Ovis aries: one gene and its partner. The protein of the gene in region 1 interacts with the protein of each later gene in a biochemical or structural test. Links are inferred from orthologs where the notes say so. Each region holds a gene or a part of one and is shown on either strand. Other genes may lie near its edges.

The links.
Region 2: the proteins of RRM1 (region 1) and RRM2 form a complex in vitro, tested with the Homo sapiens proteins (3 studies listed by BioGRID and IntAct). The link is inferred for Ovis aries from reciprocal best matches to the Homo sapiens genes RRM1 and RRM2.

Annotation. Positions count from the first base shown.
Region 1 is NC_056068.1:49,755,850-49,759,663, reverse strand, and holds part of RRM1 (ribonucleoside-diphosphate reductase large subunit), read left to right. Parts: intron 1-2,295; coding exon 2,296-2,445; intron 2,446-2,645; coding exon 2,646-2,867; intron 2,868-3,814. UniProt on the Homo sapiens protein: Provides the precursors necessary for DNA synthesis. Catalyzes the biosynthesis of deoxyribonucleotides from the corresponding ribonucleotides.
Region 2 is NC_056056.1:19,306,831-19,311,326, reverse strand, and holds the start of RRM2 (ribonucleoside-diphosphate reductase subunit M2), read right to left. Parts: upstream 3,046-4,496; 5' UTR 2,995-3,045; coding exon 2,896-2,994; intron 2,802-2,895; coding exon 2,727-2,801; intron 2,379-2,726; coding exon 2,235-2,378; intron 1,952-2,234; coding exon 1,835-1,951; intron 1,338-1,834; coding exon 1,204-1,337; intron 1-1,203. UniProt on the Homo sapiens protein: Provides the precursors necessary for DNA synthesis. Catalyzes the biosynthesis of deoxyribonucleotides from the corresponding ribonucleotides. Inhibits Wnt signaling.

The DNA of each region.
Region 1 (3,814 bases):
ATTCAGTTTAAAGTATGTAAGCATGAGAGTCCTTTCAGTGAATGTGAGACAAAATTCTCATCTCAAATCTTTAAGGCCATTCACAGAAGAGGCAAGGCTGGAAATGGGATATAGATTTGGTTATTTTAAAAAGAAGTTTATGAAAAAGCTTTCTATTTGGGAAGAACTGCCAGTATGACAGATGAGAGACAGGGATAGGTTTTGTGCAGTGAGTGGAAAGTAAGTTTATTGTGATGGAGCAGATACATTAAAGTTTGATGTATGGAGGGATGGCTGTGGTTGAGGGAAGAGAGAAAGTACGTGAAAGCTGGCATATTTCAGACATAGGAAAGCCCTTGTAGATTTCTGAAAGGAAAATAGCATTGCTAGGATGGAAAGGACAGCTCTTGATTCTGGTTATAGAATGGCTTAGTGTGAGAAGTAGTTGGAAGTTACTTTATAAGAGATTGTTGCGTTAGTCAGATGACAGACTGTGGATATTGGATGTAAGCTATGAAAATGAGGAGGAAGGAACAGATCCTGAATTCTAGGACCTAAAAACATGACAGAAGAAAAGTCAAAGAAAATGGTAAGTGAGCTGAACATACCGCTGAGCTTGCAGTTTGATTTAACAAAGTTTACTGACCACCAGGCATGTGTAAGACACCGGACTAGATGCTCTGAGATATAAATGAATGTGGCTCAGTCCCCGCCCTCTAGAAACTTACAATTCAGTTGGAGAAATTGACATATACTTATATTGTTATATAAGATAGACTGTATTACAAAGAATAAAATGACCTTTTTTAAAAACAAAAAATCAGATCATACCATTCTCTGCACAGTACTTATCTTTGACTTTCCAACCCATCCAGAGTTTGTTCATTTTTTAAAAATTGAGATATAAGTCACATACCATAAATTTCACCCTTCTAAAGGATACAATTCCATGATTTTTTATTAGTATTTTCATAAGGTTGTACAACTATCACTGATAGCTAACTCTAGAACATTGTCACCACCCCAGAAAGAAACCTTGTACCTTTTGGCATTTACTCTCTGTTCCCCTCTTCACCCAGCCCCTGGCAACACTGATCTGTTTTATGTCTCTGGGTTTGTCTGTTGTGGGCATTCCGTATGAATGGAATCATGTAATATTGGGCCTTTTGTGTCAGTTGTCCATGCTGTAGTATGTATCATTACTTGATTTCTGTCCTTATAATGCCCTGTGAGATGGTACACAACTGAGTATCCCACCTCATCTGTTCTTATTTTCCCCCTTGCCACTGTGCTCCAACCCTTCTAATTTCATTGCCATTTCTCAAACATATCAAGCATACTCCTGCTGCAGGAGTTTTGAGTGGTAAAATGCTCTTTTCCCCAGAGAGCCATGTGACTTGCTTTCTAACTTCTTCAGTTCTTTCTTCATATGTCATATTCTCAGTGGTGTCTCCCTTGATGACTCTATTTAAATATGGCACTCCTTCCATCCTTAGCCCCAATTTCCTGCCTTATTTTTCTCCCTTGCATTTATCAGGCTTATGTGATTCGAGCTATGGTTTAAAAATGGGTACTTTGTCACCATGTGTAGAATTGATTAGATATGAAGGGCATGAGGGAGTCTAGGTGAGAGGAGTTGAGAGTTTGGATTGGGATAGTCATAATCAAAATGGTGAAGGGAGTATATTCATTCAGTATTATTAAGCATTTGCTATATGCCAGGTGTGGTGGTGCTAGTCCTGAAAATGTAAGGATAAAAAGATATGATCCCTAACCTGAAAAAACTCACCACTTAATGTAGTAAGAATCACCTAAAGAACTTTTTTAAAATTCAAACTTGGGTCCTTTGTTATGGGCTGTTGGAGTCTCAGTGAGGATGAGGTAGACATGTAATTTGGAACAGCTTTTTACAGTGATAGAAATGTTTTGAATTGGGTGGCTACTGAGCACTTGAAATATAACTAGTGCAATTAAGAAACAATTTTAAATTTCATGTAGTTTTTATTTAGTGGCTGTTGTATTAGAGCACATCTACTGACATACATAAATTATAGCACAGTGACATACGTCTGGTAAAGAGCCTTGTACTATGGAGCGTACGGTTCTTCCCCCATCTTAAGCTGTCTCACTGGTGCATGTAACAATTCACACATGGGAATAGGTCCTGGGATTTAGAAATGAACAGGTGAATGGTGAAGAGGAAGCAATCAAAGATAGAAACTAAAACTTTAATGTCAACAAGTGTTAGAGGTTTACAGGGTAGTGTCAGTGAAATAAAAATCATGTGATTCTTGACCCTTTTTCTTCAAATTCTAGGTTGCAGTCTGTAACTTGGCTTCCCTGGCCCTGAATATGTATGTCACATCAGAACACACATATGACTTTACAAAGTTGGCTGAAGTCACCAAAGTCATTGTCCGAAATTTGAATAAAATTATTGATATTAACTACTACCCTGTCCCAGAGGTATGAATAGATTTCTCTGCTTATTGCTAATAATTGAAATCCAAGGTGGAAGGAGTTGATCATAGTCTTCTAGTCATCATGTTATCATTGGAATGATTGGAATGGTGTGAGAAAACTGAGAGTGTGTCCTTTGGTACAGAATGTTGGTTTTACTGTTCATTAATGTCATCTCTTTCTTTTCTAAACCTGTTGGCACAAAGGCAAGCTTGTCGAATAAACGCCATCGCCCCATTGGAATTGGGGTGCAAGGTCTGGCAGATGCTTTTATTCTGATGAGGTACCCTTTTGAGAGTCCAGAGGCCCAGTTATTGAATAAGCAGATCTTTGAAACCATTTATTATGGAGCCTTGGAAGCCAGCTGTGACCTGGCCAAGGAGTATGGCCCATATGAAACCTATGAGGGCTCTCCAGTCAGCAAAGGAGTAAGTATACAGATGAAATTTCTCTTTGCTTGTGAGTTCCTGTAGTAGGCTTAATGGTAGCCCTCAAAAAGATGTTCACATCCTAATGTCTGGGACCTCTGACTATTAAATTATTTGGTTTGAAAAGGGTCTTTGCAGATGTAATTGAGATTATCCTGGATTATCTAGGTGGGCCCTAAATCCAGTGACAGTTGTCCTTACAAGAGACATAGAGAAGAAGGAGCAACAACCATAGAGGCAGAGGTTGGAGAGATGTAGCCACAGCCCAGGAGAATTGAAGCCACTAGAAGCTGGGAGAGGCAAAGAACAGAATCTCCTCTAGAGCCTGGGGATGGAGGGGGCCTTCCCAACATACTGAGTTTGAGCTTCCGGCCTCCAAGACTGCAAGAGAACAAATTTTTGTTATTTTAAGCCACTAAAGTTGTAATTTGTTACACCAGACATCTGAAGCTCATATAGTCCTTTTGTTCTCTGGAGTAAAAAGTATATTCTATTTTAATCTCTTTTATTTAAAACTAATTATTGCTAAAAGACGTAGGAAGAATGCTGAGTTAGTTTGTTTTTTTTTTTCCTTTTTGGATGGGTGGGGAAAGGAGCGGTGCCTTGCATGGCTTGTAGGATCTTAGTTCCCTGACCAGGGATCCTGAGCCCACAGTAGTGAAAACACTGAATCTTAACTACTAGATCACCAGGGAACTCCCAGGTATTAGTTTTCTATAACAAAACTTAGCAGATTAAAACAATATACATTCAGTATCAATTTCTATGGGTCAGGAGTGCAGACTTGGGTTAGCTTAATCTCTGGGTCTCTCAAAGTCAAGATGTCAGTAGAAGTTGTGGTCTCATCTCAGGCATAGTCCTCCAAGCCCTCCTGGTTGTTCATTTCCTTGCAGTTCTAGAGCTCATGGTATCTTACGTCTTCAAAGCCAGTAGGAGGGAGAGTCCCT
Region 2 (4,496 bases), on another chromosome or scaffold:
CAATGTTTTAGAAAAAATATCAAAAATCCATTTGGTTTATGTTAATAAAATTTAGGTATTCATTAGTTCATACTGAGCCCCACAACCTCAGTCTATCAAGAGCATTGATTGGTTTCATTATTTCAAGTTCAGGTCATACCCTCTTCCTACCTGTGCCTACTTTGGGAGTCCAGAGATTCCCCAGCCTGTCCCAGTGAGCTTGTTTTCATCAGACCTTGGGCTCCTTTTATTCTCTTTCCTTGTCAACCTGGGTCTTGCCTCTCCCTAGCTTTCAAAGCTCAACCATCAGGCCTTTCTGATCCCTCCCTTCTGGTAATCTCCTCCAATCATGCCCTACCTTTACTATCTTTTTTCATTTCTGTCTCATTTCTGTCTGCAAACATGTTCAAATCATTTTACAACCCCACCCTCCACACCCGCAGAGTTTCCTCCATCCTGCTGGCCTTCCAAGTCATCACTCATTTTCCCTCCTCACTTTCTTCCACATCATCTACAAAAGGCTATTCCTCAGCTTCACCACTTCTGTTCTACACAGGCTCTTGTCCTGAAGCTGACTTTAGTATCCAGACTACTCAAATGCCTATTTCTAGTGCTCCCCTCCTCTCCAGTCAATCCTGACAATGTTAAATAGTCCCTACGCTACTCACATTTCTTCTCGGTTACTCCCCAACATATACCATCATTTCAGGCAAATTGCTGTGTGCCTGAATTAATTTCATGGTTCACTGCCGCCTCTGTGCTATTTATTATATAATTCCTCCATTTATATTCCTAGGTCTTATTTTCTATATTATGTTGCAAGCCCCTTAAGAGGCTGGTTTTATCTTCAACTTTGTATCCTCTCCCCACTCCACCCTGTACCAGCCTCACACTGTAGGTTGACAGATTTGCCAGACGTGAAAACTATCAAACCTAAGGTTTAGCTCATCAGACAGTCTCTTGGAATGTTTTTTCAGAAGGCATTAGATTGGATGTTCATTAGTATGTTTCCAGCTCTAAAAGGATGGAGTAACCTTATAACTGTTTTTAGCAACGGACTAGTAAAGTGCATTTAGGCCTGTTCTTAAGAGCAGACATGACCATGGGTGCTAGGAATTTCTTTGACTTGCTCATTTTAGAGTCATTTTCCTATCCCTACACAATTTCAAAAAGTAACAACTAGTAATCCTAAATATGTTGGCATATCACCACCCAAATACTCACCTTTCTTTGGAATCTTTAATGTAAGTGTCAATGAGGAGACTATACATTTCAGAATGTATGTTTTCCATGGCAATTTGGAAGCCATAGAAACAACGAGCCTCGGTAATCTGAACTTCTTGGCTAAACCGCTCCACCTAGTGGTAAAACACAAAGATCAGTTTAAGGAAAATCTACCAGCAGCAGTTCAATGAACACTGGTTGCCTCACACTTCCTTTTTTGTATCATTATAAGCTAGACATAGTAATTCATTTCCATTCATTCCAAGGAGGATGCACTCAAGACATATATGTGACCAGTTATTAAAAAAAAACAACAAAGCCACAAAAAGGAGAGCAAATAGATAGTTACTAGGGTTCTGGATCTATTACTATCACTTAATATTGTCTTAACATTGTTTCTCTACAGTTGGGGGAAAAAATACCATAAGGAAGAAATAACTGCAAAGTACACTATAGAACAGAAAATGCCATAGAATATAAACCCTGGTTTACAGATAGATATATATATATATATATATACCCATTCAGTGTGCAAAATTTTAAAAGACAAAAAAGAGAATTGTTAGTTCTCTCATAAATCTTGAATAAAGGTACTTTTTCGGGGGTGAGGGGCAGATGGGGGGGAACTCACCAAGTTTTCATTTACTATGCCATCACTTGCTGCAAAGAAAGCCAGCACATGGGAAATAAAATATCTCTCCTCAGGCTTCAGGGCTTCCCAGTGCTGAATGTCCTTGGAAAGGTCCACCTGAAATACAAAAGTTCACGAAGGGTTCAAGCCGGCAGGACCCTCACACGTAGGCCTAATTGTTCAACTTTAATAAGTCTACCAGCACCACCTGATTTATATACTCCTCATTCTGCCAATTTGAACATCTCATGTCCTGAGTGAACAACCATTCCAAAGAGGGACAGAGAGGGCAGCAAAGCATATTTCAAACATGTTATATAGCCGGCCCGGCTGGAGTCTTCCTCTAGAGAGGCAATGGGCAAAGGGTCTTTTAAGTCTCCTAGTTGCTGCATCTGATTACCTCCTCAGCTGTCCAAAAGGAAGCCTCAGCTTTCTTATACATCTGCCAAATATCATGGTATTCGATAGGAAAGATGACAAAGCGGCGGGGGTTTTCTCTCAGAAGTGGTTCGTCCTCCACACTGGGGGCAGATAGCTTAGGGTTCTGTTGGGGGAGAAAAAGGGAAAAAAAAAGTTAAGTATAGGGCGAACCATGAAACTGTCATTTTTTTTTCAAGCAGAATACCTCCAATGATCAGAAATTTCATGGGGCTGAATATAAGTCGGTTGTCATACTTGGATTCTATAGGAGTTTAGGGAAATAGGAAATGTCCAGATGTGCAGTGGTGCTGGGGAGGGAACAGACTTTGGCGGGAAAGCAGCGCGCGCCCGGGAGAGGTGGGTAGGGTTTGAGAGCAGACAATGAGGCTTTGGCGCCAAGCAGCCTCCGCCCGCACCTCCTTGCCTGCAGCGCCCCCTCGCCGGGCGCCCCCACCGCAGCCCACCTACTCACCGGCTCGGAGGGCTCCTGGAAGATCCTCCTCGCGGTCTTGCTGGCCAGCACGCGGGTCCCGCTGAGGGAAGGGGGCTGCAGGGAGGCGCATGGTCAGAGGCCTGCCCGCGCCCCCACCCACCCCCCCACAGGACCCTGCCGCCCTGCCCCCGCCCCCCGCGGCGCTCACAGTGTTCTCCTTGTCTGCTAGGCTGAGCCCCTTCAGGGGCGAGAGCTGCTGCTGCTGCGGGTCAGCGATGGTGGCGAGCGGGACGCGGACGGAGAGCATGGTGGCGAGAAGGTCAGTGTGATAGGGGTTGCGCGCGAGTCCCGAGAGCCCCTGCACGGCCCCGCGGGAGAATATTTAAAGCTCCGGGCGCCGGCCCAGTGGGCGGGGACACTTCCCCATTGGCTGGATCCCGGCTGCCCCCACCCACCCCACACAGATTCAAGCGCTGCGCGGGAGCACAGGCTGACCCCCCAGTCCCTGCCCTACCGGGACCCCCCGGCACCTGCCCCTCCCAGGCCTCTGGGGGGCCGCGGGCGCCGCCGCCCGCCTCGCCGAGGGCCTAGTCGCACAAAGGCTGTAGCCCCTGCGCGCTCCGTGCGCCCTAGCGGGCGCGCAGGCTCTCGCGCGCGTCCCCGGGACGGTTTGGGATTGAATGAAGCAACGCGATTGGAGCCCGCCAGCCCGCGAGCGGGAGCGAATTCCCCACCCCCGCGGAGCCCCACCTCTCTGAAGACCTCTCTGGAACCCGGCTCTCGGTTCCGCGTAAATGGTTTTTGCAGATGAGCTTGGTACGGAGGCCCTTAAAACGCCCCTGGCTGCGAGGGAGATGTGGCTGCGGCGATCTGGATACGTGTGTGTACCTGGGTGGGGGTGCCAGGTTCCTGAGGTCCGGCAAAGGAGGGGGCTGGCCGGTGGTGACCGCCTAACGGTTAGGGCCGCGGAACTACAGGGTCCCCGGGGTGCAATGGCTGTGTCCCTTGGACACGTCATCTGTTGTCCCCTCGCTGGTGAAATGGGCTTGCAGCCATATCTAAGCTGTGGGCTTTCTAATAAAGTAAGAAGACTAAATGAGGTCATTCATGAACAATACGAAGTCCATTGTAAACCTTCAAGCTGATAACAGAGAGAGAGGGTCTTTGGTGAAGTTTCCCCCTGAAATCTCGCCCTCAACGTAGACAGTGTTTTTAAAATTGCAAACTGAGCGAAGATTCAGAGAAAAAGTTCAGAGAATGATTGAATAACTATGACTTCATTTACTGCTTTAAAAGTGAAGTCGTTCAGTTGTGTCCGACTCTTTGCGACCCCGTGGACTGTAGCCCACCAGGCTCCTCCGTCCATGGGATTTTCCAGGCAAGAGTACTGGAGTGGGTTGCCATTTCCTTCTCCAGGGGATATTCCTGACCCAGGGATCGAACCCCGGTCTCCCGCACTGCAAGCAGACGTTTTACGTCTGAGCCACCAGGGAAGCCTAAACAAGCCCATTTACTGCTTATTGGGCCTCAGAGAGCTTGAAGAGGAGGTTGAAAACCTCCATTGGGGTGATGGTGGAGACATAAACTTAGTAACATTTTAATTTTACTTTACACTTGGCCTTTCAAATTTGCCGTAGATTTTTGCCCTGCATGTGGCAAAACGCCAGGAATGACTGATGAGATCCAGGAAAGAAATGATTAACCAGGATAAGCTCTAACAGCGCACACACTCAGGGCTGTCACTGAGTGAGGCTTGGATTTTGTACAATGTCTTTTCTAGATATAATACTTTTAAGAGGTGGGGGTAGG